Bombyx mori: one gene and its partner. The protein of the gene in region 1 purifies or fractionates together with the protein of each later gene. This does not show direct contact. Links are inferred from orthologs where the notes say so. Each region holds a gene or a part of one and is shown on either strand. Other genes may lie near its edges.

What was found.
Region 2: the proteins of striatin-interacting protein 1 (region 1) and striatin-3 purify together in Drosophila melanogaster (affinity purification with western blotting; 4 studies listed by BioGRID, with this or other methods). This does not show direct contact. The link is inferred for Bombyx mori from reciprocal best matches to the Drosophila melanogaster genes Strip and Cka.

What each region holds. Positions count from the first base shown.
Region 1 is NC_085115.1:8,792,611-8,797,047, forward strand, and holds striatin-interacting protein 1, read right to left. Parts: upstream 2,968-4,437; 5' UTR 2,775-2,967; coding exon 318-2,774; 3' UTR 4-317; downstream 1-3.
Region 2 is NC_085118.1:7,132,169-7,136,459, forward strand, and holds the start of striatin-3, read left to right. Parts: upstream 1-1,477; 5' UTR 1,478-1,870; coding exon 1,871-2,089; intron 2,090-4,291.

The DNA of each region.
Region 1 (4,437 bases):
CACTTAATTTTACATATTGCATATATTTAATAATATAATTTAACATCAAAATTGTCAAAGGTCTACATTTTATGTTTTTATTTGTTCTTAAAGAGAGTTTTTATATGATAATAGTCTAGCCAATTAAAAATTAAGTAGATTCAATTATGTGACCCAGGTCTCGGGCTATTACTACTCCCCTATAATCTATCAGTAATAGTAGCATTCTCATTTTGCCTATCTCTCGTAGCAATAACAGATAATACAGAAAGTACAACCATTTCTCAACTTGCAAGCCAAACCATGTACTTGCCTCTATTGGCCAAAAAGATTAAACTCTATGTAGATAATAAGACATCCCAGTTGATCTCATTATTATAGACTTCTTGTTCGAGCCACAATTCATAATTCTCTTTGAACTCTTCATCTAACTCTATGTTACTCTCCAGGACACTGTTTATGTCTGTGTCCAAGGGAGTCAGATCAATTTCTTGTTCTGTACCTGTACCATATCTCCTGTGGTTGAATCTGTCTACACTGATTCTTAATGCACATTCCTCACTTTGAAAGTCCCAAGGTCTTGCATCTACATCATTTCCAAATGCCCAATCATCATTTAATCGATGACGAACTTTTGAATATATTGCGCTTATTGTTTTCATGTTTGTTTTTCGCCACTGTCTTCCTAAATATTTAGTTTGCATTTTTAGTAATTTCAGTACATAAAACTGCATCAAGGCATGTCTTACTTTTAATGTTCTTTTCAAAATTGGTGCGCTTTTGAATACAACTAGCATCATGATCCTAGCATTCTTCCATTTTGTTAATTTATTCAAAATTCTCAATAAGTTTATGCATGAGAATACATTTCTCCACGAATATGGAACAGAGGAATCTCCAATGTCTAAATATTCCTTAGTTAATTCTGGTTGTTCACCAATAACACAAGCAGGGAAATCAAATATTGGGATGGAATTCTTGGCTCCTACATAAGACAGTATGTTTTGATTGAAGAACTTGAGAACCAGCGGCATACAGTTTGCATAAACTAAATGTTGTGACATAAATTCAAATTGGTAGACATGATTTAGTTTAAAATGCTTCAAGAGGAGTAATAGGATTGCTGTGACAGCTTTCACAATAATTTCTTTGTGTCTGTTTACATCTATGCCTAGTTTTAAGGATTGGAGAACTGTCATGGGCATTTCTTCAGGTAACAAATCAGCCATAATATTAATAGAATATGTTTTTGCAGTTGAAGTGGGAGCTGCAGCCAAGAGTATCTTTAGCAAAGCAATCATGTATTGAGGCAAATTAGGTAGCATAGCTCTATATAGAATTTCTGCTTCAGTTTCTTCTACATATTTTTCTCCCCTAGTAAGAGGACTCCATGCAATCTCAATTTCTCTCTCAACTTGGATTTCTGATAGACTTGTGTACATGTGTTTCTTTAATATCTCAATACCCTCATGGATGGGCTGTGGCAGTCCAGCTATTGTTTGTCTATCACCTGGTAAAGAATAGCCTACAAACTTAATGCGGACATTATCTAGAAACATATCAATATCTTTTTGACGAACCTTTGACTGCCATGGCAGACTACGGGGTAGTGGCGGTGGGGGTGGTGGACTATCCAACTGTTTAAAGTATACATAATATGGACAATTTTGGCTATTTTCACCTTGCTGATTGTCACTTGACATTGACTGAAACTCCATAGGATAATCTTCAGATCCATTTCCAGTGTCTTCTTTGTCAACAAATATTTGTTCATCAGTTTCATCTAGAGAAGTCTGTTTAGTAAATGTTTGTCTCCTCAGGGCTCTTTCATTTTCCTTTACTTTTCTTTGACTAGGATTTTGATTTTCTAACACATCTGCAGCATTTGGAGGTGGTGAACTGGCTCTCATTCCCTTTATTACTTCCAACGTATCTTCACTGATGGGAGGGAGCCCATGCTGCTCCCTCAACTTTGCTTTTCTTTCTTTTAGTTCCTTTGAGCCACCCAAGTAAACTAATAACACTTTCCACAAAAGTAAGAGAACTTTCTTCATTGGAAAGTGTGGTGTAGTCCCAGCACACAAATGCGTAACCATACTTAATAGTTTCACAGGTAACAACTCATCACCAAATGGTGTGCCTAATTCTTCAGTAAAATTTTTCACGAGATGTGCATACTCAGAATCTGGGCTGTTTTTCTCTGTTCTCATGTATTCAGTTATAAGATATAGAACTGTCAGTATCACTCGCAAGTTTGTAGAGTCAGCTAACGATTCTGCCAATTTTCTTGAAGCTATAGCTGAGCTACTATGAACAATCTCGAGGTTGAGCAATTCCACAAATATTGAAAATGTTCCCATTTCATATAATGTCATAATGTTCACTCGAGCCCAATGTCCTTGTTCGGCATCCGATTGCATTTCTGCCCAGCACCCTTGGGCCAGATAGAGAATGCAACGAATAGCACGCATACGAATTTCGGAGATAGCTACATCGAGATGTTCCAATAGCATCATTACTACAGTTTGTTGTTGTTTTTTTGTTAGTCTTTGCCAACTCGGTGGATGATTAAATTCTTCCATTATATCCTCAAAAGCCTTAACGTTTAGCTGATATTCGGGATGTTCCGTGTAACTATATATTTCAGCAATTTCGTTGGCTTGAGTATCACAGTCATCGTAGACGAAGTCAAGCTCGGGGCTCTCCATGTCGTTAACGCAATCTCCTTCTTCCAGGGGACGGCGAACATCCGGTAATTTAGTACCTCCGCGACGACCATTGCCGTTGGTACCCATTTTGTATACAATGTCATCCAACTTATAAAGTCAACATTTCAGCGATGTTAATTTATATTTCCAAAAATGTATACATTAATATTAAATCCGAAATTGAAGCAATTCGAAACAATACCATATTAATTACAGATTACAGAACATAGAATAGAAGTAGAGCACTAGATAATTGACAGTTTTTTATTGACATATTTTTTCCATCAAATATGAAAAGAGAATATAGCCCATACAGCCAAAAATTTCGTAACAAAGGCCTATGCCAAGATTTTGTTACATAATATAAAAAGTAAAATGGAGCAAATTTTATTATTAAGTTATATAATTTAACGTCAGAAAAGATTAAACCGTAGGTGTTGAATGATATGAACTAAAAAAAAAATTAGTAATAATTTATAGCGAGCTCAATTCACTTTTTCTTATAAAACGCCGCGTCTTATAAATCTTATTTTATTTACTAATCCAGCATTTTAATACACGTCTATCAGATACTTTGGTTCGCAATGTTTATATTGAAAATATCAACTTCTAACAAGGAATCCATAGAATCTTTCAATAAAATTAGGAAATATGCATTAAAAACAAAAAAAAAGCATGCCTGTATAAAGAGGAAGCTGAAAAGAAAAATGACTTTTTTTATATCCTCGAGATTCTGGTTAGAACATAAAAACAAAGTAAAAAAAATTGTTTTATCATTGAAATTTGAAACCACTTGAGATTACAACGTGCAATTTTTTTACACTGAGAGATTGTAAAGCCTTTTGGACGAATCTATTTATCCAGGACATTTATTTATTATTACAATCTATCTAATCAATAAAAATACCGACAGCTATTATTTTAGGTATCCTAAAAATAAAATTCCAACAAATGTTTTGAAACGAAAATCTATTTTTTCACTCTTTAAAAAACTGCTATTCTGGGTTGAGAGCAATATGGTTTGTTCTCACGTCAAACGTCGTTTGTATGACACTGGAACATTTGTCATACAACAATAGATCCTTTTACCGCCCTCGCAAAGCCCACTAATAAGCAGAGGGGGTCGTTTGCTCCAGCCACTTTTCTTTATAATTGAATTAGCAAAATTACTTTGATAATTATTTCAATTTTAAGATTGGCATTTGCGTACCTAAGGTTCTATTCCAAGGTTGAGAGCTTGTAGGAAACTAGGAGCGCTACAGAAAGGGCTAGTTGTGCTGGTTTCTAAAAATAACCATTTTCGATTCAGTAACTAGGTACAAAAAACGACAAAGTGACCTTCCTCCAAACGGGGTTATTCCTTGGTAGATCGACATCACGGTATTGAATGCTTTTTCTCCGGATTTGTTTAGGCAAGCTTATGTTTTAAACATCTTTAGCGTGGTTAGGCTCCTTTAAACTTTTCAATTACAAACATTTTAAATTATATTATCGAAAGAGGATCTCAGTTTTTTATTGCATTGGCTAGCTGCGTCAGGCCCCTGCCTACCTTGAGACATGAGGTCGAAATCATAATTGTATTGTGTAACGTATCTCTCGCGCTTCAATTTATAAAATATTTAATTACAAAAGTAAGATAACAGATACCCTTAGATAACTGGCCTAATTAAATTAAAAATGATATCAGTCCAAAGTGACAAAAAATGCTTAGTAAGCGGACTTTAATACTTGTGAAATTTTCAAGTTAGAT
Region 2 (4,291 bases), on another chromosome or scaffold:
GCCAAACAATAAAATAACACTGCATTGATAATTTTGAATAAAAGTTCTATACAAAAACATCATGAGTAAACCAGGTTCTTACCAACAAATTTAAAAAATATTGTTATAACTACATAGACAATCCTACAAACCTGTACCTATTTATACTTAGTTCGTTTCCATTTTACTTATTCTCATCCCAATTGACCCCTTTTTCGTAGTTATTTGTACCTGAGACGTCCCCAATATCCCCAAAAACAACAGATTTTTACATGTATTTTTATTTTATCAAAAACATTAAAACCAATAACAACTGAGACTTACCTTTAATATATATGATGGTTCAAACACTAAACAACTTTTATAAATCACAGTCGTCTTCTATTATAATCAGCAAAATAAAAGAAATCAAAGTTTCTAACACTAAAATAAAACCACCACAAGAAGTTAATTTGAAATGCAATTTTTATAAGTTAGCAGCTATTATCATGCATATTCAGAGTTGTTTTGTGAACTTTTAACGTTCTACTATTACACTACAAAAAATAGAAGATTTTGCAACGATTAAAAAACTAATATTGAGCGTCGAAAGATTTTCCTGGTTTTTTCCCCATTCGCCTCTCAATCCGTGATGACCCCATTTTACGGTATGGAAAGTAAGTTAAATTGCATTTTCGACGTTGGCAATTTCAAATTTATAATTATTGAGTAAAATCCAAATTAATAAATTAAACTGTCACAAATACTTAGTGATTTTAAATAAACACAGTTTTTTCATGAAAGTACTTAACTCGTATAGTTGGTATATCATTATTAAAATATATGTTTCAACGATAGTCCTACAATTACAAATTAAATAAATACACAGCAGAGTTCATTAAAATTAAGTTGCATTGACAATATACCCATTTTGTAACGTTCATGATATGAAAAGAAAAAAAAACAGCAAAAAAGTTTAGGATAAAAAGAAATAATACAATCTATATTACCCGTTCTTATACTTTCGCAGTTGTGGCCGACTTTTTGAGACTGTCTGACTTTTGTCATTTTTTCAATGTTTTTTTATTGATGATCACTTTAACTAAACTAAATAAATAAATTAATTAAAACCAAGGAGTGCCAGCCCTAGCAAATTTCTCTATTAACACTAATTTCGTCCCCAATAACCACAATTTGTGGGCATACGTCATGAATGAGCTCACGGTGCTCAACTTAGTAGGACTTTTTGACTTGATGGACCAGATAGCAATCGCGATCAACTGAGAAGATCTGGCGACCCCAGAAACCCATTCTACTTTTGGATGGTGTCAAACTAAATCGCCAATATCTTAAGCCGTAGTTGTATTTTTTTGTGACTGGAAATGGTATATAATTGCACCCGTCCGAGTCGGTACTGCTATCATTTATGCTACAAAGCAACAGCAATAATATTACGCGACTTAGTTTAAACGTACCACTTTAAATCAACGTAGACAGCATAGAGATGTTCTTTCAGATTAAGGATCTGATGACTACTTGACAGCAGTTAATCTCGTCATTTTAACCATGTAAGATCTATAAAATCTATAATTTACATCGATAACATTAATTCAGTTGAGTTTAGTACTTAATCCCTGTAGGTTTTTTATGTTAGAAAATCTAACCGTTTGAATAGGGCAACATTTTAAAAGCAATGTAGCGAACGGACGTCGATGAGACTTTTCTTTCCGTCATGCAATAATTTTTGTCATTCATGAAATCGTCGATAAAAATTATTTTAGATGGTGGCACATCTGTGGACGTTGTTTGAAAAATAGTATTTAATAATGTGTTAGTATTTCATTTTAAATAGTTCTTGGTCATAGTTATAATAGGTGTGTGACAAGTTTAGTTCGGTAATGGTGGCCATGTCATGAAAATCCCTACAGCCATGGATGATAACTCCGTATCTCATCACAACGGAGGGCAAGTGGGATCTCAAATTGGAGTCAGTGTAAATAATAAACAAAATGAAGAACCCAGTCAAAGTGTTCAGTATTCAATACCGGGCATTTTGCATTTTATCCAACACGAATGGGCGAGATTCGAACTGGAGAGATCACAATGGGAGGTGGACAAAGCAGAATTTGAGGTATTATTATTTATATTTTTTATTTGATAACATCTTTGTCGATTACAGTGGTTTGCTATGAATATTATACCATATTCAATAATGTGCTTTGGAAGTAGACAATTGAAGTACTTTATCCTACTAAAATTAGTATTTAACATTTTTATGTATATGCTACTTAGAGAATTACAATATTTTTAACTACTAAATATAGTACTACTAAGTATATGCTTAGAAGTGTTAAGAAATAAAACATTTATCAGTTAAAAAGCAACACCTATTTGACTGCTTTATTACAATGTTAGTTAACATCCTGTAATAAAAAATAAATTGAGAAATTATAATTTATAAGTCTAAAACCAACAAAGAAACGTATTCAAATTATCTCTTTCATAATAAATTGAATCGCATGTATAGTGAGAATATTGTCAATGTTAGTTAAACAGTAAAAAATTTTTTTTGAAAGCTAGAAAATTTATATTTGTTTTACCTAAAAATTAACATTCACATATTTGAAAGGAAAATATTCTATGCTACATTGTTTAAATGGTATATATATTACGGTTAATTCAAAAAGTTTTTACCCAACATCTTTGTATAATATTACTTTTGAGGGGTAGTACATTGCGCCAATATGATTAGTTCTTACCGTTATGAGGTTAGGGAAATTTTAGTTTATTCCCCTACACCGTTTTGCTTATTTTTGCTGGTTCAGTTTGAGCAGGTTGTTTTAAAGTGAATGATATTGCATGTGCAGTAAAAAGTAATCATCAATTTTGTTGTTTTTATAAATGATGATGGGAATTAATGGTAATGTTAAATAGGCAGTGGTTTGTCATACAATAAAGATGCTAAACAATTAAATACTTTAAAAGTAAACTACATAATTGTAACCAGTAACATGTTTTTAATAAATTCATTTGAACAAGTTCTTAAGCAAGGCTATTATTAGATAAAACTATGTTTTATCACTCAAGTGACTAAAACTGAGTCAAACCCAGAAGCCTCAAATCTTCAAAATATCAATCTTAGAAACCTCCGTAATCTTGGAAGCTTGCAGGGATACTTTTTGGTACTGTTGCATTAAACAGGTCCATTTTAATCCAACAGTAATCAATAGTTTAGAAGCAGTAAGGACCAATGGTGATTTTGTTGCGCGGTCATAAAAAGCTAGTAAGTCCTCCATCCCTCTCGGATTCTGTGAGATAGCTATGTTGTAGAAATGGTCTATGGCCTATCTAGAAGTTTTTAAAAAGTATTGATAAGTATTTGTCTCTCACTTTCCAAGTTTTACCCAACTAGAATTGAGGTATTTTTCTTTTTGAGGAAGAACTGAGTTACAATTGAAAACTTAAATTCATAAAATAGTATATTTTAGCTGTTATGATATTTTCCCTCTAAGATTACAGATTGATTAGTAAGTTTATAAAAGGTATTCCACAAGCTTTTGTTTCTATTCTATTTTAATTCATATTTTATTGTTTACAAGAGTAAATGAGTCTATACTATACTCGGTATAAATTGGTTACTATAGCCCATAAACATCAATGTAATTTGTACCACTTTAAGTCATGAATCAAAGCTGCCATTTATTGTATGACAAATATCTCACCCTTCAAACTGGAATGCATGACCACTTCACTGCAAAAATAGGTATAGTGACCTGTTCTACCACCGGTAGTTGCCGATTAGCGATTCCAGTGAACTCTTATAATACTATGAGAATGCTGGTGCCCTATCTCAGGTGAATCCTCAATCGCCTTTAACGACATCCATGAGAAGATATGGGCAAAGCTATTTTAAGCTGACACCACAGTCAATTCTTGCAAAGTGCTCACTAAGCAGGCAAGTCTGCAAGTGTGCAGTTAAAATTTATTTGCAATATGGAAAAAGAGAATAGGAAAGTGGGTACTAGTGCAGGTATTTGATAGCCATGCAATAACCTTCAAACCTATTAAAGCTGTGGCAAAGGAGAATGGAATCAAGAAAATTGACTGGTGGGTTGAAAGTTACGGATTATTGCCGAGAGAGAGATGGGTGCTAAGCCCCAGCGTTAAACTGAGTGTGAAATGTTCTCAGTCACAATTTACCAAGCGAAGTACGCGTGAATCAGTTCCAGAAACACCAGACCACGATGCGTAGTACCCTGGGTTTGCAGCCCCAGTGTCCTTATTGCAGGGTTCCAGGCGTGGCTCGCCTCACTATTCGAAGTCTGCACCGAGC